3 linked regions of the Caenorhabditis elegans genome follow. The protein of the gene in region 3 purifies or fractionates together with the protein of the main gene of each other region. This does not show direct contact. Each region holds a gene or a part of one and is shown on either strand. Other genes may lie near its edges.

Region 1 (9,113 bases), 1.6 Mb from region 3:
TCTCACAGGATTTCCATCAAAATAATTTTTTTTCCAAATTTCATCCAAAGTTTGCATCCAAACCTCGTAAATTCTCCGGGTACGGGTACAAATTGAAATCTCGACGGTTTTGGTTGAGGCCCTTCGACTACTGCCTGCGTGAATGATTCACCCATTTCTATAAATGCTAAAAAAAAATTGGAAATTAATTAAAGAAATTTAAAAAAAAAGAAGATATTTTCAGGGATTTTAGACCCTTTGGAAAGCTGGAAATTGGAAAAAAATTGAATTTTAACAGTGAAAAATGTTTAAAAATGAAATAAATAACAACAATGGTGGGGGGAAAAATCAACAATTAAATAACAAAAAATGGGGGAAAATTGCTTCAAAATTGCGAATTTTTGGGCCAAAAAATGCCGAAAAACGAGAAATTTTGCTCAGAAAAAATGGATTTTTGCACATTTTTCAAGCTTAAAAACCGAAAAACGCCGGCAATTTTAGTCGGAAATAGGATTGATTTTTTTTTGCCTAAAATGACGAATTTTGAATTAAATTTCAAAAAAAGTCGATTTTATTTGGAAATTTTATAGAAAAATTTAGGAAAAACCACCAAATTTTGCAATTTTAACTCAAAAATCTGCCACAAAAAGTTCAGAATTTCACGTATTTCACCATTTTTTTTCGCGAAAATTCGTAAAATACCGCAATTTTCACCGAAAAAATCCGGGGTTTCACAGGATTTCCATCAAAAAATTGCTTCAAAATTGCGAATTTTTGGACCAAAAAATGCCGAAAAAGTGAAATTTTGTTCCGAAAAAATGGATTTTTGCACATTTTTCAAGCTTAAAAACCGAAAAACGCCGGCGATTCTAGTCAGAAATAGGATTTTTTGGGAAATTGAGAAGAAAAAACGAGAAATTTTGGTGAGAAATTAGGAATTTCGAGCGTTTTTTTTTCAAATTTTGGAAAGAAAAATGGCTTGCTCAATTTCAAACAAAAATCAGATTTTTCGGAATTTTCTTTAAAAATTCAAGTTTTTTGGTAAAATTAATAGGAAATTTCGTATTTTTTCTTTGAATTTTTAGAAGAAAAATGCGTTAAAACTGAATTTTTTGTGCGAATTTTTTTTCCAATTTTTCTAGAAAAATATCTAATCTTTCGGAATTTTCTGTGAAAAATTCATATTTTTTCTGTAAAATTACTAGGAAATTTCAGATTTTTTCGCTGAATTTTTTAGAAGAAAAATGCGTTAAAAATGAAGTTTTTGAGCTAATTTTTATTTAAAAAAACCGAAAAAATCTAGATTTTTCATAACTTTTCTGGAAAAAATCCAAAAAAAATTTGAAAATTGAAAAATCCTATAAAAACCAAATTTTTCTGAATTTTCAGATTTTTTTTGAATTATCAGGAAAATTTTTTTTTTTTTGCCCTTTCAAACATTTTTCTCAAAAATTCAAAATTTCTGTGCGAAATTTTCAATTTCAATATTTTCTATCGAAATTTAACGGGCTCCTGTCCATCCTTAAGCTCCGGTGGCCATTCCAAATCAACTTTCTCCACATCCAGCTCCAAAATATCAACTTCTCCGTGCTCAACGTCAAGGAGCTCGGCAAGCGAAGGCCTCGTCCTTCCAAAATCTCCGTGAACAAATTCCTTGATATATGTTCCTGCTTGGGTCTCGAGACGAACTTCAAAGTGGTGATCGTCCAATTTTAAGAAATTCATCGAATAAATCCATCGTTCTCTGTCGAGTAGAGCTCGACGCTTCATCACACGAACTGGCGTCTTTTGAACAATTTTCAGCGGGATTTTCGATTGAGCAGCGGTGAATTGGGAGTCAGAAATTGGGAGAATACTGTAGCAGTAGGCACAATATTGCTTTCGTTTGTCTGCAAAAAATTTTGAGATTAGGCATTATTTTAAAGGATTTTTTTTCTCCATTTTTTTGGTAAAACTCTAATTTTTTTTGTAAAATTGATATTTTTGCTGAAAATTTGGATTTTTTTTTTACAGAAAATTTCATAAATATCTGCAAATTTTGGGTACAATCCGTATTTTCGGCAATTTTCCAGTCCAAAATGCTCCAAATTTTCGGATTTTCTTAGTTTTTTTTTTCTTGTTTTCCAGAAAATCGTTCAATTTCTCCGACTTTTTTGGGTACAAATTGTCGGTTTTTCTTGAATTTTTTGCCGAAAAATCCCTGTTTTCAGCTATTTTTTTTTGTCCAAAATGCGTTAAATTGTCGGATTTTCTTGGTTTTTTCCTAGTTTTTACTAGTTCAATTTTCTCCGACCTTTTTGGTACAAATTGCCGATTTTTCTGGTTTTTTTTGTTGAAAAATCGTATTTTCAGGTAATTTTTAGGCCCAAATGCTCCAAATTGTCGGATTTTTTTGGTTTTTTTTGCTAGTTTTCCAAAAAAAAAAAAGTGCAATTTCCTCCGATTTTTTGGGTACAAATTGTCGGTTTTTCTTGATTTTTTTGCCGAAAAATCCCTGTTTTCAGCTATTTTTTTTAGTCCGAAATGCTCCAAATTTTCGGATTTTCTTAGTTTTTTTTCTAGTTTTCCAGAAAATCGTTCAATTTCTCCGACTTTTTGGTACAAATTGCCGATTTTTCTTGATTTTTTTGCTGAAAAAATAATATTTTCAGCAAATTTTCAGTTCAAATTGCTCCAAATTCCATTTTCTGTTTCCATAAAATTGTGCATGCACCTTCTTCTCCAACACACAGCTTCTCAGAAACATCCCGTGGAACTCTGGTCAGCGACACGACTTTCACATCCTTCTGTACATTTATAGCCTCCTGAACCGTCTTCAGTGTCTCCAAATACTTGATTCCTCTCACTGGAGCCGTCGTTCTACAATTTCGGAGCTCAACGACAAATGGGCGGCCGGTTCCGAGCATTCTGACGTCAATATCCTCACGTCCTGACGTCACGAATCGACTATCACTGGCTCCGAATTGCTTTTTCAGGAGGTCACACACTTTTTCGGAAACCTGCAAAAATTTCGAATTAAAAATTTTTGATTTTTTAGGGGAAAAACTCAAAATTTCAATTTTTTCGATTTTTTTTTTGTAAAATTTTGATTTTTTTTGTTGGTAGAACTCCCCATTTTTCATATAAATGTGAAAATTTTTCCGGATTATCGCGATTTTTTCAGTAAAATTGACATTTTTCTTGAAATAATCGATAGTTTTTAGGCAAAACTGTAGTTTCCGGTAAAACATTCGATTTTCCTGAAAATTTCGATTTTTCGTCAAAAAATTTAGTTTTTTTAAAAACTTTTTTTTTTGGTAAGAAATGATTTTTTTGGTAAAATTTCGATTTCTTCCAAAAAAAATTGGTATTTTACTTGGAATTTTTGAAAAATTTCGAAATAAATTTTATAAATTCCCTAAAAACTAAAAAAAAACCGATTTTTTTGGAACTTTTATAGAAAAATTTTTAAAAAAGAAAAATTCAATTTTTTTAAATTTATAGAATATTCTAGAAATATTTCACCGAATTTTTGCAGAAATTAGGGGTTTTTTTTTTTTTTTTTCTTGGAAATTTTCTTGAAATTTTGCTCAGAAAACTTGAAAACTCAAATTTTTTTTAGATTTTTGAGGGGTCAGAACATCAGAATTTAATTTTTTTTTTAGTCAAAAAAATCTTAACTTTATTTTGCAAAAAAAATTCACATTTCTAGATTTTTTATTCGAAAAAAACTGAAATTTCCGAATTTTTTTTTCCAAAAGGCCAGAAAATTCAAAAAAAAATCTGCATTTTTCCCAGAAAATTAGGGGAAAATGAAATTTTTGTAGTAAATTCAGAAAAAGCAGAAATATTTCTTTAGAAAATTCCATTACAAATCTGAAAATGCAGATAAAAAATTGGAATTTTTTGATTTTTCCAAAAAATTGTCCCGGAAATTTGGCAGGATAACTGGGTTTTCTTCAATTTTTCGCCTGGAAATTGTCGAAAATGTGTCTAATTTTGGCCGAAAAACATGAAAATTCTAAATTTTTTAGAGATTTCCGTGGATTTTGGGTAAAAATTTTGATGTTTTCTAGATTTTTTCATTAAATTTATGTTGATTTTTTATTTCAAAAGCTCCAGAAAAAAGGTTTTTATAGATTTTTTAAAATTAAACAAAAAAAAACTTCAAAAATTGCATTTTCAGAGCAAAATTTCATTAAACAGTCGAAAATTTGTTGAAAAACTCGCATTTTTTGGGTAATTTCATTTTAAAAAAATCCGGGAAAAATCAAATGAGATTTTGTCGATTTTTTTTAGTTCTAAAGGCTCGAAAATTAGTTGATTACGCTGAATTTTCAGCTTTTTTTGAAGAAATTTCACCGGAATTTTATGAATTTTCCGATTTTTGAAGGTTATTTCTAGATTTTTTTCAAAATTTAAATTCCAGATTTTTCAAGTTTCAAGTGGAATTTTCTTCAATTTTCCATCAATTTTCCATCAATTTTCCATCAATTTTCCATCAATTTTCCACTCAAAAATCGAACCGAATTTCCGGGCTCTCTCGGAGCATCTTTATCCTCACTCCACGGTGATTGTGGTAGACATCTTGAATATTTACAATATCTTCCAGCAATGTATACTGGATCTCGTTCGAATTGAAGTTGAAATGTGCATTTACGGGTTGGCGATTTGAAGATGTACTTTCTGTAGAGAAAATATGGATTTTTTTGGGGAAAATTGGTGAAATTTGGTGAATTTTAGGTCGAAATCGTCGTGAAAATTCAGATTTTTTGACGTGAAAATTTTCAAATTCACACAATTTTTAGCTGAAATTCAGATTTTTTGGGGAAAATTGCGGAAATTTGGAGAATTTTATTAGGTCGAAATCGTGAAAAAATTGCGGGAAAATTCCGATTTTTCAACAAAAAAATCGGATTTTTTGGATTTTTTGTTGATAAATTTTGGAATTTTCGCAAAAAATTCGGAAATTTCATGTAAAAATTGTCTTAAATTTTCTATTTTTCGCTCTAAAATGGGCCCTTAACGTTAAATATGAAATTTTCTAGAGAAAATAGGCTTTTTGGGCTGAAAATTCGGTCGAAAATCGGCAAAAATTGGAGTTTTTGGCAATTTTTAAGGCAGTTTTCGATTCATTTTCCAACTTTTTATTGATTTTCAGGGCATAAAATTCTGAAAAACTGCAATATTTGACAGGTTTTTGCCTGAAATTGTGAAAATTCGGAGAAAAAAAAGGAAAAATTGTTTAAAATTTGAAAATATTGATTTCCGCTCAAAAATGCATTTTTCTAGTTAAAATGTGGGGTTTTTCCACGATAAATTTGGAATTTCCGTTAGAAATTATATTTTTTCTTGGAAAAATGGCTTCAGTATTTCAAAATGTAAGTTTTGAAGGTAGAAATTGGAGTTTGAAGCAACAATTTTTCAACATTTTCCAAGTTTTTATTGACTTTTGAGGGTATAAAACGTTGGAAACTCCGAATTTAGCGAAAAAAATTGGTTTTTTTTTTTGTTTAAAAAAATAGTTTTTCTTGTTCAAAAATTGTAAAATTCAGTGAAAAAAGGATTTTTATGTGGGGTTTTCAACGATAAATTTGAAATTTTCCGTTAAAAATAACGAACAAAGAGTTTTTTTTTGGAATTTTCATCGTTTTTTCGCCGAAAAAATAGCTAAAAACTTTTAAAATTCAAGTTTTGAGCTATTTTTCAGACAAATTGTGGAAAAATAGCTTCAAAATTCAATTTTTAAGCTGAAATTTGGTCCAAAATCGAGGGTTTTTGACATTTTCCAACTTATTAAACCCATTTTTTGTGCAAAATTTCCTATTTTCTCGTCGGTTTCCACCGCTATTACTTTGCAATTTGCTCGTTAATCCTGCCAGTGACCTGCTGTAATTGCTGTTTTGATACACTCGACGGCGCTTCTTGATTATTATTATATCTTCCACGTTTTCCAACACGAAAATCGTTCGGAAATTGATTTTGAAGAAATTGTAGATCCGAAAAATTCGATTCCTCCTGCTCAAAAGTGATCATAAGCTGGAGATCTGAGCTCAGAGTTGGTCGTTTTCCGGAATACTGCAAATTTTATTAATTTTTGACTCAAAAAACTCTAAAATTGGAGTTTTTGGCAATTTTTAAGGCAGTTTTCGACATTTTCCAACTTTTTATTGATTTTCAGGGCATAAAATTCTGAAAAACTGTAAAAAATTTGAAAATATTTCAAAAAATACTATTATTCTGCTCAAAAGTGCAAAAAATGTGTAAAATTTAGCTAAAAACGGATTTTTTTTTGCTCAAAAATGCATTTTTCTACGATAAATTTGGAATTTCAAGTAGAAAAATTCCAAAAATGCGATTTTTCATATTTTTTCCTAGAAAAATGGCTTCAGTATTTCAAAATTTAAGTTTTGAAGGTAGAAATTGGAGTTTGAAGCAATTTTTCAACATTTTCCAAGTTTTTATTGATTTTTGAGGGTATAAAACGTTGGAAACTCCGAATTTAACAAAAAAAAATGGATTTTTTTCGTGGAAAAGTCGTTTTTAGGTAATTTAAGCTTACAGAGCCCAATTTCTTCAAATATCCATCAATATTTCGCACTTTATACGGAACAGAAGCCAGTGTCCCATTGAAATCCGGTCGGAGACGGCTTACTAGAATCTCCCTGTCAAAAATTTAAATTTCGAGTTTTTGGCGGCGGAAAATCAACAATGATTCTAAAATCACCTTAAAGTCTGTCCAACGGGCAAATTCAACGCCAAAATGAAGCTCATCGAGTCGTAGGGCAGCTTGGAGAGCTCTTCTTGCACTTTTTCGCCGACCTGAAGCATTTTTATGGATATTTTGTATAAAAATCGTGAGTTATAACCTCATCAATCATTGCCTGATCCATAATCCCGAAGCAAAGCTGACATTCGAAAGAATTTTCGCATTTTGTCACTTCCTCCGCGTCTCCAGAGATTTGTCGCACGCAAACTTCGCACAAAACTAGCGGAGTTTTGTCATTTGACATCTGAAATGTTGAAAATTAAGTAAATTTATTGAAAAAACAAAAAAAAATCGAGAAAAACCGAGCATTTTGAGGATTATAATGAGAAAAAAGAAAAAAAAACTCGAACAAAGAGGAAAACACAATAAATTCGAGATGTGTGCATTTGCGCGTCACGGTGTATGCACAGAAATGTCTGCCGTCTCTTCAATTGCCACACTGTTTCGTTCAGTTGCGAATTCAAATTGATCCACAATGAAACATTTTTTGCAATTTGGAAAATATTTATATGGAAAAATATAATTCATAAATTCGCAATTCTCCGAAAATCATAATTAATGTTCAACTAATTAATTAGTCTCTATAGAGAGGGGTCCATGGAGAGGTCAATTTTCAATCGAGTTTTCCCGCACAGCTACTGTTGAATTCTTGTATAGACGGCGATATCGTCATTCGATTTCATGCCACATTATGGACGATGGCACATTTCATCTCGAATTCGGAACGTTTGACGGTAGTCGAAGAGTTCCAACATGTGAATGGAAAATATCAAAAATATTTGGCACGCGAGGATTGATAGATCATTTGATGCAGTTGCTGAAAATATCAACAGTTCATATGGTTGATATTGCCGTTACATTGCAACTCACTTTCTAAAGTTCACGCAAACAAACTTTGATGGATTGAAAGTTGAAGAGGTAACAATTGACGGAGCAACTAGGATCAATGAATTACTTGAGAAACTGCCTCACGTGGAGAATGTATCATTGTGGTCTGAGGACGAAACAAATGTAACAAGACAAAATTTAGTTGGACTTCAAAGCGTTCTTCGTCTTTTTGTATACATTCCTGTAACACTAAATGATTTGCTAGTAATGGATAACCCTTCACTTAAATGCGGGAAAACAATTTTGTCTGAAAAAGATTTGACTTTAATAATCAAACACTGGAAAAATGGATGGAATCCAGGGTTAAACTTCCTGGTCTATAAGTTTGAAAGTCAATCGCCGCACTCGAACCCATCCTCAATCATGAAAGATTTATCTGAGAAAATTGTATTAGAAAATGGTGAACCAGCTTTTATAATTCAAAACATTCATGGAACCACACGAATGGTTGAATTCAGTTTATTTGAAAGAATGATGGCGGGATACGTTGCAGTTCGTTCAACACTTCCTACTTATATCAACTAATATTAATGTTTACTTTTGTTTTCAATCTGTTAATTATTTTTCATGTATTGCATTCTCTTAAATGGTTTAATAAATTCTGATTTTTAAAAACAGTTTGTACGTCCCTGGTGTTCAATGTGTTCAGTCGGTACCAGTGTTGCCAGTCATTCTTATTCTCTCCGAGCATTTGAGATCGATATTTCATCATTCTGATATGTTCAAAATACATGGTCCAAAAACAGTCAACTTAGAGAAAAAGCTATCAGAATTGCCACTGAAATGGTAAAAATACAACAATTTGTATAATAACAAGATATTAAAATTGGACAACTTATATATCGCCAATTTAATTTTCTGGAAACCTCCCTAATTCTAAAATTTTAAAATAAAATACATACGAATCATCAACGTTTCCTTTTTGCTCAATTCAAATTTCATAACCAACAATATTTAATTTCCGTTTCCACCCCCACCACCTCGTTTCCGGGCTATTTTAAATCGTAAGCTGATCAAAAACCACTAGGTGATAAGGTTTTTAAGGCTGAAAATATTTGTATATTTTCAGCTCCAAAATAATAATATTCCAGATTGTGTTTGCTACAGAAACAATACCGAGAAACGGATGAAAAAACTATGTTTTGAGGAAAAACAACACGAAAGCACGTAAATAGGTAGGTATGTAGGTAGGCAGGTAGGCAGGCAGGCAGGTAGGTATGTAGGTAGGTAGGTAGGTAGGTGGGTAGGTAGGTAGGTAGGTAGGCAGGCAGATAGGTAGGGGGCAGGTAAGCAAAAACATTTACATTTTTCTGACAAAACGGAAATAAATCTAGTGCTCAATTCAAGTTCCGCTACACTTTCCCACCACGCAAATAACGTATTTTCAACACTTGGTAACCTCATTAAATTAATTGAATAATATCAAAAACATGCCCAACTTTCCAATGAGAAACTTGTTATTTTTGGGTATTTGTTATTCAAGATATTAGGTTTCTCC
Region 2 (6,810 bases), on a different chromosome or scaffold from region 3:
ACTTGTTGGCCTGTCCAACCGGCAAACGTGTAACTATTGATGAACCCAATCGAGCAGAGCGCACTGAGACAATTATGCCATCTAGACAAATGATGTACCCAATGGTGAATTACCAAGCACTTCCAATGGTAAGTTTTTTTTGAGAAAATGTTCGTCCATTTCAAAAACTTCTATATTTCAGCCACCACAATCAATTCCATCAATGATTCCCCCATTCATCCCTACGATTCCTTCGACGAGCACAATGCCTCCAATGATGCCGTATCCAAATGTTCTACTCACTGCTGCTCCGGGAGACGTTGCCCCAATCGATTCACTCACCCCATCATTTTTGAGAGCATTAGAGCAGCAAAAACTAATGGCAGCATTTTTAAATCACGCTTTTCAAAAATGTCAGAAGTAATTAAATTATTAAATGAACATTCATTGTTCTAACGCAATCTTAATAAAAACCGTATGCTTTCACAATTAGTTCAGGGTACTGTAGGACTGTCAACTGATAATTTTATAATCAATTTGTTTCTAGGGACTTACTCATTTAAATAATCGATTCATATATTGACTATCAACATTACCGGGCTCAGAAAATTTGAATTTTCTATGTTTTCTTTGTTTTCTACTTTATTGATTCTGTTCTGTTTTCACTTAACTCACATTTGAATTTCACAAATAAAAAGTTCAACAACGGAGTGTTCTTAAGGACACAGTTTATAAAAACGCGTGATTCCCCTCAACACTTTTATCTATTTCTGATGCTACAGTCGTCTTTGGTTTTTGGAGAATTGCCAGCAAGTCTAGAACATGTGGAATGGGGGAATAACTGACTTTTTGAACATGGAGTAGTGCAAAAATTAGCAGTGAAAACTTGCTTACCGTATACTATTTTAAATGAAAACGCATTGAAGAAATTTAAAATATAAATTTTATACGGTCATCGTAATTACAGATTAATGAACGGTGTTTTCTCACTTTTCACAAAAACCTGTTAGTCTTCTATAGGGAGTGGAAGTTTTTTTATTTTCCTCTCAATAGGGAATACCGTATGCTGTGAAAAGAAATATAGAATGAGTGATCCATTTTCTGAACGCTTATCAATTGGAAATTCCGAATTTTAAATAAAATGTTGCTCAATTTACTTTCGAGACAATTATTCTTGAATTAAAACTATATTTTGCGGAATAAAGTTGGCTTTGAAGTTACCTATCTTTGTGAAATTTAATTTTAGATAGGTCAAACTGTTTAATCGGACGAAATAATCACCAATGTATTTTTTACATTTTCCAGTTAGTGACGGTTCAGTAAAGCTCATTTCCACGGGATCGGAAAGTTTCAGAAACAACGCCTTTTTGCAAACATTAGCTTTTAAACATAAGTGTCTCAAAACTAAATTGGGCAGGTTTTTTTTCACAAACGCATCTAGAAAAATATCATTTCATATCTCTGGACACTAAAATTTTTTATCAGACAAGAGAAGGATTTACGGAGAACACTTCACTGCAAAAAATGTGAACTTTTGTTTCATCTCGTTTAATTTTAATCTGAAAATTTCCTGTGTGTTTTGCCATGCGTGTGAGGTCTTTAAAAATACCTTAAAACTGTTTTTTTTATGATTCTAATGGCTTGTGCGGATCAGTAAAATCTGAAAGTATTTTGGAGTTATTTTGGGAAGAGGTTTAGCTCCTGTCCTGAGCAACAAAGGAGATCTTTGACCAAATTACTGCCGTCAACTTTTTTGCCTACCTCTTATTTTCAGTTGCCGTCCTTTCCGCCCTGTCCATAAGACAGTGCCCTCCGCACACCGCGGTAAAATAATTTAATATCGCGCGCTACGCCTCCCGTTTCCTCACACTCTCTCGCTTATCCCATTGCAATTCTAGAAGACTGTTGTTGTTGACAGCGGCGGTGTTTCGCGCATTCTATGGTCCATGCCATTTCACGCGTTTGACAGTGATTTTATTGTCTTTATAACTGCGTTCGGTGAGTGAGAATATGCTTCCGTTCTTGCAAATCATTTTGAAACTTTTTGTTGGGCTCTTGTTCTATAATATTTTGATATGATGCTATTCGAATGTTTTTTTTTGAAGTGCGATTGTTCTTGCCGCATAATTAATTCTTTGTTTTTTACTTCAAATTGTTGACCAACACAACAAACGAATTTCAGTTTTAATATTCAAACTTGGAAAGTGAATAGCAAATGGATCTCTTATCCGTGAGAAATTCTGAACCTGACAATGAAAGTTATCATTTATTGGTTAGTTTGTTTTCTTTAAGCTTCTGAATTGTCAAACTATCATTTTCAGAATATGAAAGGTTTGGCAGAAAAAGTTAAAAAGATCGACATATCTATCTTTGACCGCAGGAGCTTGTTAAAGCGTGTAAAACATAGATCTTGTCATAAAAGAGCCGAGCCAGAGTCCGAAGAAAACCGCAAAAAGAGGTACAGGAAGGACTGCAAAGAGTATAGAGAAAGGAATCGTGAATATGCCACTTTCCAAAAACTATTCTTCAAAATAACAGCGATTGAACGGAGATTCAAGCAATTTATCGAGGAGATGTCCGTGGAAACAGTGGAAGTGAATATTAGATCCATGATCAAAGAGTGTGAAGACATTTGTTCCAAGTACACAAATATCGATGCGCCTCACAAAATTCATTGTGAAATTCCACATGTTGATGATTTTTTGGCATGTTTCCAAGAAAAAGGCCAAGCCGCCATGCTCGTCGACCACCATACAGAGCCTTCCAATTTTTACGCCCAAAATCTGCTTAAACTACGCGAGCAATATCACAAGCTCACAAGCCAAAAGGACAATATGAATTCTTCAAAGGAAAAAACCCGTTATGCATCGTCAAAGCTCGAGTTGAATCGCAGAATTGTACGGGAGCAATTGAAAAGTGATTGCTGGGTATGTTGGCAGAGCATTAATACAATGATGGTCCAAGGAGAACAGCTTCAGGAGTACATCAACGAACGGAAGAAATATGTAAGTTAAAACATGAATTAGGACAACTATGTAGAGCATATGTTGCTAAGTTTTCGCAAAAATTGACCCCAACACTTTATAGCAAATTTTTGGTAAAAGATTAGGTTTTCTACCTTATTTTATTTTCAAAACAATGATAAACTTTTACATTCCTCAAATAAAACTGCAACAGAAGCGTGTTATTTTTTCAGATTTGGAACAAAATCGTAGCAATCCATCACCTGCTTTTCATCACCTTTTCTCAACACGCAGCAGATGCAGACAAGGAAAAAATGAAAAGAATTGTGGTATACTTCGCGCCCGACTCACAAATACCACGTCTACTTTCTGCTGCCTGGATTTCGTTGTTGAAAAGTGCCGATTTTCCTTGGACAGAAGATATTCCAGAAATCGAGTTAGATTGTGAAGACACTTCCTTGTCGTTTTCCTTCTTAACTAACAGAAAAACAACTATCGCAAGTGAGATGGATGCATCGATTGATCGACCGCAAAGTGTGGACATGTTAACAACTTGTTCGCCAGAGTTCAAAGAAAAACTTCAAGTAGAGGATGTGAAGGCTCTCACTACTCATGCAACACCTACCGCCTTGCCGTCTCCATATATCACACTGACACGTCAAACAGTTCCAGCTTCAACTCTAGATCAAAAAGGAACAAATGATACCTTCAACTCTTCAAACAGAAAGCGTGCGGGATTCTCTATTGATGAACTTCTGCGACCAGATTCCACAATAGTAAATTTTTTGAAAAAAAAAACTATCGATTTGGAAAACTCTTTTTTTAGCCCACACAATCAACTCCATCAACAATACCGGCTTTCATTTCTACAACTCCTTTGGCGAGCACAGTGCCTCCAACAATGTCGTTCCCAAGTATTCCACACATTGCTACTTTGGGAAACGTTGCTCCAATCAATTCACTTACTTCGTCATTGAGAGCAATAGATCACCAAAGAGAAATTCCTGCCTCAACTTTAAAACGGAGATCCGTTTCTGATAGGATGAACGGATTGCCATGCAAGCGTAGAAATCTTCCAAATAGTGTGCCAATGTCATCACATGTAAATGGCTCCACCATGGAAGCTAAACCATTATTGTTTCCTGGTTGGAATTTACACCCAGCTATGGCACCTTCATTTGTTAGTTTAACAAGCAAGTTTTCCATAACTGAAATAGTCTTTTCAGCCCACACAATCAACTCCATCAACAATTCCATCATTCATCCCTACAATTCCTTCAACTACCCTAGTGCCTCGAATAATGTCGTTCCCAAATATCCACGGCACTATTTCTCCTGGAAACAATGCCCCAATCAATTCACGCGTTTCATCTTTGAGAGCAATGGAGCAGCAAAGAACAGTTTCTGCCTCCACTTTGAAACAGGAAGCCGTTTTTGAAATGGTGAACGGATTGTCATATCAGCGTGGAAATCTTACGAGCAATGGACCAATTCCCACACAATTCCGTGGCTCTAACATGGAAGCTAAACAGTCACGGTTCCCTGTTTGGAATCAACATCCTGCGATGCCACTCTCCTTAGTGAGTTGAACAAACATGTTGACCCTAACTGAAATAATCTTTTCAGCCCACACAATCAACTCCACCAACGATCCCAGCATTCATCCCTACGATTCCTTCAACGAGCTCAATGCCTGGAATAATTTCGTTCCCAAATACTCGACACACTATTGCTCCGGGAGACGTTGCTCCAGCCAATTCACTCACTTTGTTTTTGAGAGCAATAGAGCAGCAAAGAACCGTTCCTGCCTCAACTTTAAAACGGGAAGCCTGTTTTGATAGGGTGGACGGTTTGTCATACAAGCGTGGAAATTTTACGATCAATGGACCACTGCCCACACAACTTCGTGGCTCTAACATGGAAGCTAAACAGTCACGGTTCCCTGTTTGGAATCAGCATCCAACTATGCCACTCTCCTTTGTGAGTTGAACAAATATGTTGTCCATAACTAATATCAATTTTTCAGACACCACAACCTGTTCCATCAATGATTCCACCAGTGATCACACCGAATCCTTCAATGATCTCGAGGAGCACAATGCCTCTAATTATGTCGTATCCAAACATTCTACCCACTGCTGCTCCAGGAGCCATTGCTCAAATCAATTCACCAACCCCATCAACTTTGGGGCATATCGAAAACCATCAACTCATGGCAGCGTTTTTGAATAATGTTTCTCAAGCGTGTCAGAAGTATTAGAAGTATTATCAGAATAATTTATTTCAAATGTGTATTGGATTTTTATTGTTGAAAAGTAGTTTTATCTCAATTTTTAAATAATTAGCTTTAGATTAATTAGTTCCCACTCGAATTTCACAAATAAACATGTTCTTGTCAGCTCCATGTTGTCTACTCGCAATCTACTCGCTTTTTTGGAATATGCAGATGAATTTAGCAAAAATTGTGTGGATATCAAGTCTTATCAGCTTCGAAGAAAATTGATAACTCCAGCTTTTTCTGCTCACTTTCATAATACATATGAAAGATATACATATGAAGATTTAAAGAATTTGCAACAAGTCTGGAGAAATAAAAGTTGGAGAAATAGTAAGGCTGTGAGAACTTGCTCGCTTTCATCTGTTTAAGTTTTGTGCTCAATTTCAAAACATTTAAAAACATGAAAATGATTTATATTGTACTTTTTCCAGTCTTGCATGAAGAACTTATTCCAGGTTCATTTGTGTTAGAAAGCAGTGTGAGAGCAATAAAAATTATATTTATGGAAAACAATACCGAATTAATTTTGAGAAATTCGAGGAAATTTGTATCTAAAAATTAGGATTTCATGCTTTACTAAAAGAGGAAATACAGTGCTACATCCTCATAAACCAACTCATTAAAAATGTCCATAATCCTAACCTTCTTTTATAAATTATTACTTGCTTAACAAAATCTACGAGAGTTTTTTCAATTTTCTGAATGATTTATTAATGAAATATTTTTGAATAATAGAAATAATACAAAATCGAGCGTTTTGCCAGTAAATGTTTAGTTTTTCATAATACAAAAACAGTTACTCAGACAAACCAAAGCATAGAAACATCCTGATCGCAACTGTTGTGGCCGTGAGAACAATAGAAGCTAGTCAAAACCACGATTTATTGATGAGGTTAAAAAGATGCACTTCCGCTGGACCACTTCTCAACACTCTCCTCATCAGTTTAGATTTAAGGAATCCGGAGAAACTCTCTCGGTTCGTCAACTCCGGTCCTCCTAGAACTTTGTTGACTCCGAACAATTCCTTTCAAATTGTCTACTCCGGTCTTTTCCGATCTTCACTGACACTACTACACTCCTTACTAATTTCCCTTAACTCGAATTAAACCAGAAAACTAAACTTCTAAATCTGTCAACTCCCAGTAACTTTTCCAAGGCGTAGAGATCAAAAATTGATGTTTACAGCTAATTTATGTTGCCAGCCTTGAGTTTCACTCACTTGACACGTTACCAGGACCTCCTCTTCGAATCTATGATCGCCACTGATATGTCCGTGAGAATGATATAAGGTAGTCGAAACCACAATGTTTTGATGAGGTTAAATCGGGAATCAATATATAATCAACAAATGAGTTCAGTTCTATTCACACGTGTTAATGCCCTATTGATAACCTTTGTTCACGCCCATAGTGTAAGGAGATGTCCCTCTCACATTCCCTTTCTATAAGAGCCACACTTTATCTTTCCAGGTTGGCGTGACACACTTCTGAATGAATGGGTCTTGTCTTCGGACATACACCTTTTGCCGCCGACAACGAAATCCGCAAGAAACGTCGCCCCACTGGACTTATAAATGTTTGACCTATGTGT
Region 3 (7,326 bases):
CGTTTTTCCAGATCCTGGCAGGCCCTCCACCATCATAAAATCTTCAGTTGCCAGGGCGTGAACTACAGCTTTCCGTTGTTCATTGTTCAGCTTTGCCTTGATAATGATTTTCTTGATGGCTGGAGTTAAATTAAAACCAGTAGCATCCATTATGATTGGAGGAAGCAGGTCGACGAGTATATTTCTTAGTCGTTTTCTGGAAAAAAGATAATGAAATTAATAAATCAATAAATTTTTTAAATACCCAATTTCATCATTTTGCAATAAATAAACCAGGTTTCCGAGTGTCGTGGAATGAGTGCTCATACTTGTGTATTTATCCAGATGGAACGGAGCTTCATAGCGAGATTTTATAGTTTTATCGGTGGAAATTTTGACAATTTGTTGATCATCTGATACTTCATCAATCAACGCGAATCCAATAGCAATATGCTTCTTATTCGACAACAGACAGACATCTCCCGGGCGGAATGTAGGGGTATTTGAAGATTTCAAAAATTTCCGCGAGAAACTGATGATAATCTTCTGCGAATTGGACATTTCCTCGGAGACAGGATGCAGGTCAGACAGGCATGTTCCTTCTTCGACTCTTTCTTGAACACTTTTGAGCCAGAGATCCTTGTTCTGAGAAGTCATTCGCTCTCGTTCGCACTTCCATTCTGCTGAAATCCAGCGGATCCAATTTGCAGCGTATTCTATGTGATTCTGCTCCAGATGAGCCATCTCATTCTCGGCGAAATTCTTCATTTTATCGTTGGATTTCGAGAAGTTCTCCTCGGTTTTTTGATAGAATGAGCACATCGTCTTGTGATCACATTTGTCGCAAAATCTGCTGTCTTGACGTGGATCTGGAAGATTTGATGTAGTCGGATCCTCAAAGTGTACTGAAAGCTTGTTCCGTTGCTGTAGAACGCCTAGAAGATCTGCAGCCCGCGGGGTTACACAATGGGAGGCGCCGTCCTGAAAATTGTTTTATTTATATTTTCCATAAGTTTATAGGTTAAAAAAAGCTAACTTTAAGGTATAGAATATTTCCGGGTCCAATAGGCTGCTCGTATCGAGACGACTGCATCATACAGTAGAGTAGAACCTGACCAGTGTGCTCACTGGAGCAACTGCTCTTGCCAGTTTTCAACTCCAAAGATTCCATTCCTCCCCTCGACTTTGTTCGCATCGTCACATCGATCTTCCCCTTCAAACCAAGCTTTGAATCCCATATATTCTCCTCAATATCGTACACCTCGAGAAGCTCCGATTTTGACGGCAGAGGCTCGCGTTTCGAGAAGAAGCTGTTAGAAAGTGGATAATGTTTATTGATCCAGCCACAGATTATCGAAAAGTAAGGCTGTAGCTCGGCGTCCAGACAGCTTGGAGTAAAGGAGAGCGCCACAAGCTCTTCGGCATACTTTGGAGCCTGCTTGTTCCAAATTTTCATCAAATCGTTTTCCATTACAGGTCGCTTTTTGCTCGTGATTGCTGTCTGAAAGAAAAAAAATTGAAATGTTTTTTATTTTTATTTTTCAGTCCGCCTTACAAACCTGGAATATCTCGTGCATAATGGTTCCGAGAAGCATTGCTTTGTTCGAGGCATTTCCAAACTTAAACTTGTCGTTTAGCACCGTTTTTCGAGCACAAAATGTGGCTGAAGCGACGGCTGTGCACGGGACAAGTGCGTCTGGATTTAAGATCACGATTCCGACGTCATCGTTGACAAGGAAATCACGATCTCCCCATGCTTGAGCTCCGATCAGGTTAATCGTGGATCCTGCTTCAATGCTCATTTCCGACCAATGATCCTATAAAATAAATTTTATTTAAAATTCAAGATTATATTTCTACAAAAACCTGTAAATAGACTATCCTAGTCGTCCCTTCTTTGTCTATACACTCCAAATCTAGACAATCGTCTCTTTTTTCACCTTTTCGAGCTGTTAGATGTATCACATTTTTATCGTCGAAGAGGCATGGGAATCCAGAAACTCCGCTATCTGAAAAATAAATCAATAAATGCAAAATCAAAAAATTTTAATGAATTAACCTTTCGGTAAAGCCGGAGGTTTTGAACTAATGACTGGTGCATCGAACGAATCGTCATCGTCGCATTCTTGAAGTTGTATCCTTTCACTTCTCGACCTCGGGCTGATTTCTGAAAAAAAATTTGAGGTTTTTTCTGTTGTTTAGAAATAAAAAAAAATATTCTTGAAAACTCACTTTCTTTTGGAGAGGAAGCTGTCGGACAGAAGTTCTCGAACGAGTCAACGCTGTCTCCATCATGCTCGGTTCCTGAACCAAACCTTGAATATTATAAAATATTCCAATATCTTCACAATACCCTTGAATTCCTCTTTTAGACGTTTCGGCTCGTGTGATTCTGAATTGACATTTTGGAGCTGTCTTTTGCGAGACTCCATCCCCAAGAGATCTGAAAAAAGTCTTATTTAGTGACAATTGTACGCTTTTTTTTGAAAATCTATTAGAAACGTTTATTTATAACAAAAAAAACCAATCAAAAACAGGAAAAAGATTTCCGAAATCGTGAAAAAGCTTTTGTTTTTTGAAGCACGCGCGCTCTAACTCTGCGCTCTCTCTAAAATGCACACTCTCTCTTTTGTTTAAAGGCACAGAGGGGTCTCCACTGCAGTGGTCTCGCATGGAACAGCGATTCTGGCTGCGAAATACGAGGCAACGGGCGGGCGGGCAGCAGACATTTTCCAGCTGAAATCGATCGTTTTTCGTCGTTTTTCTTGAAATTTGCGGAACAAAATGTTGTCGGAATCAATTTTAACAGTATAAATACAATTTTTCTTCTATCAAATGCGAAAATTTGCTAAAAATGAGCCATAAATCTTGTTTTTCTGTTTCTTCAATGTTTTCCTTGATATCTCTGTAGAATCTGTTTCAATGTGTATATTCAGATTCTAAACTCGGACTGCCGGGTATGGAAGAAGTAAAAAAGTATGGGAAAACTCTCGAAGAGATCGAAGGAGGGTTGATGTTCGGTGAGAGCTAAACTATTGATCAAAAATCTATTGATTATTTGTTGCAGATGACTTTCCCGAATCTCTGGTGGATAGTGACGAGGATCACAACATTTTCGACGACGAGTTTGATGCAGCCAACGATGAAACATTCGGTGGAGGCTTGGACAATATCGGCGAAAATGCTGAGCTCGAGAACTATGCGACACAGGTATATACTTTTGAAAAATAATCAATTGGAATCATATTATTTAAATTTCAGACTGCGAAGTTGAGGTTCGATGATCCTGTCTGGCAAAAACCCTCATCTTCGGATCACGTTGCTCCAAGCGCCTCTGAAATTCCGATTCCTTTTCCAAATTTTGGAAATGGTGATGCCAGCGACTCGTTTAAATCAAGCTTTGAAGCAGAATCACCGTTTTTGGTTTGTTTAAAGTTATTTTATTTTAAATTAGAATATATTTCAGAAAAAATCGATTTGGGGAAACGGGACCGATGGAGCATATAACATTTGGGGTACCAATTTCGGAATTTCTTCAGTACCTGCAGCTCCTACACTGGATCTTGATTTCGGTGCACTTTTACCAACTCCGACGATTCAAGCAACAAAGGAAGTGAAATCATCTCAAATACCTTCTATGCCTAGTTCAGCTTTAACGGTTTGTTTCATAATGTTTGAATCTATCTTCTCATCATCAAATTTAAGCTTGAAGACTGCGAGAGAATGCAGATGGGAAACAAACCGGACTCGTTGGTAGACGCTTTCAAGGATCTGCAACTTGGAAGCACTCCAGTACAACCCCAATCCGCACAATTCTCAAAGCATCCTCTTGAAGCGAGAATTGCTGCTCCTGGTACCCCGGCAACGGCATCAAGCCAAGCTCTTCCCACTCTACCTACCGCAGCTCTTTCATTAGAAGAACTCGAGCTACAAATTATGAAAGAAGCCCAAATTTTGAAAGGCCGACAGCAAGTTCCGTCAGATATGCGAGAAGATAACAAATTCTCACATCCACCTCCGGGATTCAATCAAAATGTTCAACCTCGTATGGATCCGTCGTTGTCTCCAGGTGGTATGCACGGTATGCCTCCATCGATGGGAACATCTATGCCACATATGGGACCAATGATGCCACCACAAAACATGCAGCTGCCGAGACTGCCGCCACTGAATCCACAGTTTCTACCGTTGATTCCTGTATGGTTTAATGCAATCATTAATAACATTCAGTTACCAATGGGGGTTCCACCGCCGCCACCATTTTTGTTTCAACTTTTGAATCATTATCGCGTAAGTATATATGATACTTGGTTCCTTATTTGTAAAAACAATTATTTTACAGAATCCTCAGCTCGTTCACGCTATGATCATGCAGTCTTCGATACCTCCAAATATTAGGCAAAATGGTCCACAATTCAGTCATCCTTCTGGACCTCACAGTCCAGGAAACAGAGTTCAGCGTAAACATTCTGGAATGCCATCTACACGGACAATATATGATCTTGCCCTTGATTCTTTCGCTGGTTACATGTCTTACAAGGAACGTGAATGGCTCATTAGAATCCAATTTATTCAGTGTAAGGGTTCTGGTGATCCGCAAGTCGATGATTATTACTATGTGGTAGGCTTAAATATTCAGAGTGTTTTATTAAAATTAACATTTTAAAGACATGGCGTGATAAGCAAATAGCGAACGGGTGGACTGCCGAAACCAAGTTGGAAGAAGCTACTAAAGAGAAGAAAGAAAAGTCGTCCGAGTCACAGAAGGATTATCTTGAACGTATCAGTCGAATGAATTATCGAGAGATGCAGAAAGAGAGGGCTCGTGAACGTGACAAGGAACGACAAAGAGAACGTCAAGAACGAATTGATCGTGGAGAAGACAAAAAGTTGCGGCAGACACTTTCAGACAAATTTGCAACAAGTTTGGGTTTGCCATCAAAATCTTCTACCCACAACCCGCGCCATGTTCTCGATATGAAGGCTCAAGTAGAAAGCGTGGACAATCAAACAAAGAAGTTGTCGGACGAAGAAAGAAAAATCGCCGTTGCGAAGAAACTTCGTACGATGCTTCTACGTTTAGAAGGAGCATTGAACATTCTGATGGAGGTTGATGAGCTTCGACGATCATCGCTGCCTGAAAAGTCGCAGTTTAAAGACTTGAGCAGGTGTGTATATACTGTTTCTGAATATTTTTTTGTAAAATCTTATTATTTCAGCGATGAGAAAGACCAAGAAGTTGAGAAGCGTACGACAGTTATCATCAACGAATTAATGGGGGATGACTTGTCTAAACTCATGCAAATGTCCAAAGGAAGAGCAGTTATTACGAGAACTCTTAAAGTTGTTGAACCAAGAGACCAAGCAAGAATTATTCTTGCATTGATGACGGCTGGTGGACTTGTGAGCAAGAAGATGTATGGAGAGATCGTTCTGGACATTCTCCCAGTTGTTTATCAGAAAGTCTCAAATCTTCATCCCGACCAATTCAAGTATCTTGTTGGAGCTCTTAACTTGGATACTCTCAAGAGGCAACTTTTGGATAGTAACATGGTAACGATAATTTTTAGAAATTAATTAATTTTTTATTTTTGTTTTCAGTTCATCAGGGACATGATGATGACGTTGTTCTTTGTCAGTGTCAAGAATAATCAACAATTGGTGGAGTGGGCCAAAGCTACGAAGTTCTCCAGCTTAAAAATGCCTTCAAGTGCTCCACTCAGTATCTGGAGAAAGGCTCTCAGCGTCATTAGCGACAGCGAGATCAAAGAATTTGCCGATGATATCAAGTACTCAGGAATTGTCGATTGCCATGATGTCGCTCAACTAATCGAGCAATCACTCTAATTTATTTTAAACATCCTAACCAGAGAGATGACCTTATTGTGACATTTTCCTCTCAACCCCTAATTTTTTGCATTTCCCAAAATTGAACTCACCCCCAATGATCCCCCATACGGCCCTACTGAATCATTCCGTCCGTTTAGTATCACATTATCACTTTGTCTGTGAAACTTGATGTTGGTTCTTGTCACATGCTAACTTATCCCAAGCTCGATATTCGATATCATTATATATTGCGTAATATACGTGTCTAATATTCTCTCCTAATATTACTTTATTTAATATTGTATTAGGTAAAAAACATATATTGTAATCCCACCTCACAATTCTTATTTTGCCAAAGAAATATTCATAAATATTATTATTTATTCATTTATTTTAATGATGTCTTTGTCGAGTAATCGGTTTTCTTTCCGGTATTATTTTCTAAATTCTGTTCTCAATGTCAAAAATTGTTTCCAATCATTCCGTTTTAGATGGCAGACACCGTTCGTGGAATTTGGCAATCAATCGTCCAAACCAAGAGACTCTACCTCAACCCACACGAGCATTTCGGACGTGCCAACATCTGCCGTGCCGCCCTCTTGAGCTACGTTGGGATGTACTACATGTTCAAGTGGAACCAGAACAGAAAGGTAAAGCGTTTCCCTATTGTTATTCTCAAAAAAAATTGTTCATTTTCAGGCCGAAATTGCCCGCGCCGAGAGAAAAGCTGCCAAGGCCATCGCCAACGTCGCTGCTGCCGCCCCAGCTCATCACTAATTCAGTCGGATGCACCTAGATTTGGTTTAATTTTCTTTTATTGGACAATAGTTTTGTCCAGATTTGTCGGTTTATGTAATGCTATGTTCTTTTGAATAAACTACCCGATTCGAAAACGTTCGGCAAAATTATACAATATTCTGTGGATAAAATAAGGCAACTAGTTTATATTCAGGTTTTTCAGAAATTCTAGGATGTTCTGTTGAGAAATTGGAAAAAAAAAAATAATTTCACTTAGTGAGAAAATAATTTCCGAGTTTCAGGATCTTTAAACAATTCAACCATACTTTTGCTCACACGCTTAATATCGTCCTTCTTCATCTGATCATATGCTCTGAAATTTAAAAGTTAGTAAAAGGTGTCAAATGACAAATCCCGTACTTTCTGATGCAGAATGATCCATACTGACATTTATCTTTGTTATTCCAGATATTCGATAAACCAAGGAAGGAACCTTCCTGAAAAAAAGATGGCGATGAATTTAGGGTTCCGGTGAAAGTTCCAAGTTTAAGACATTTTTGTTATGGAAACTCGCTTACTATTTTATTGGTGAGGTCGTGTTTAGAGAGGGCCTTGATCATTGCAGCCTCTTTTATTTGTGCTACCGTACTCGACACGCCAACAACTAAATAATTAAGTTTGTAATCAGATTTCAACATTTCGAAAACAAACATATTTTTACGCATCCAATTTCTTGACCTGAGTTCCATATGCTAACGATGCTTCCACATTTTGAATCTA

What was found. The genes of interacting proteins can lie anywhere in the genome.
Region 1: the proteins of patr-1 (region 3) and Y48C3A.20 fractionate together in Caenorhabditis elegans (co-fractionation; one large-scale study listed by BioGRID). This does not show direct contact.
Region 2: the proteins of patr-1 (region 3) and K09E3.7 fractionate together in Caenorhabditis elegans (co-fractionation; one large-scale study listed by BioGRID). This does not show direct contact.

The regions. Positions count from the first base shown.
Region 1 is NC_003280.10:13,367,465-13,376,577, reverse strand, and holds Y48C3A.20 (tRNA pseudouridine(55) synthase), read right to left. Parts: upstream 6,972-9,113; coding exon 6,828-6,971; intron 6,781-6,827; coding exon 6,686-6,780; intron 6,624-6,685; coding exon 6,521-6,623; intron 6,037-6,520; coding exon 5,813-6,036; intron 4,645-5,812; coding exon 4,485-4,644; intron 2,979-4,484; coding exon 2,693-2,978; intron 1,869-2,692; coding exon 1,471-1,868; 3' UTR 282-1,470; downstream 1-281. Other genes in the region: tsct-2 (Flocculation protein FLO11), read right to left, coding at 64-155.
Region 2 is NC_003284.9:17,129,877-17,136,686, reverse strand, and holds K09E3.7 (BZIP domain-containing protein), read left to right. Parts: upstream 1-2,155; 5' UTR 2,156-2,194; coding exon 2,195-2,251; intron 2,252-2,300; coding exon 2,301-2,984; intron 2,985-3,175; coding exon 3,176-3,718; intron 3,719-3,768; coding exon 3,769-4,122; intron 4,123-4,168; coding exon 4,169-4,522; intron 4,523-4,568; coding exon 4,569-4,922; intron 4,923-4,968; coding exon 4,969-5,202; 3' UTR 5,203-5,339; downstream 5,340-6,810. Other genes in the region: cnp-3 (Calcineurin-interacting protein 3), read left to right, coding at 1-128, 182-403.
Region 3 is NC_003280.10:11,773,533-11,780,858, reverse strand, and holds patr-1 (Protein PAT1 homolog 1), read left to right. Parts: upstream 1-2,915; 5' UTR 2,916-2,938; coding exon 2,939-2,999; intron 3,000-3,046; coding exon 3,047-3,189; intron 3,190-3,240; coding exon 3,241-3,402; intron 3,403-3,445; coding exon 3,446-3,637; intron 3,638-3,684; coding exon 3,685-4,269; intron 4,270-4,321; coding exon 4,322-4,600; intron 4,601-4,647; coding exon 4,648-5,147; intron 5,148-5,198; coding exon 5,199-5,532; intron 5,533-5,580; coding exon 5,581-5,826; 3' UTR 5,827-6,195; downstream 6,196-7,326. Other genes in the region: dna-2 (DNA replication ATP-dependent helicase/nuclease DNA2), read right to left, coding at 1-196, 245-960, 1,016-1,480, 1,539-1,796, 1,846-1,988, 2,039-2,146, 2,212-2,283, 2,333-2,411; F44E5.1 (ATP synthase subunit e, mitochondrial), read left to right, coding at 6,300-6,458, 6,508-6,585; F44E5.15 (N-acetyltransferase domain-containing protein), read right to left, coding at 6,820-6,919, 6,967-7,043, 7,125-7,210, 7,258-7,326. UniProt on the Caenorhabditis elegans protein: RNA-binding protein involved in deadenylation-dependent decapping of mRNAs, leading to the degradation of mRNAs. Acts as a scaffold protein that connects deadenylation and decapping machinery.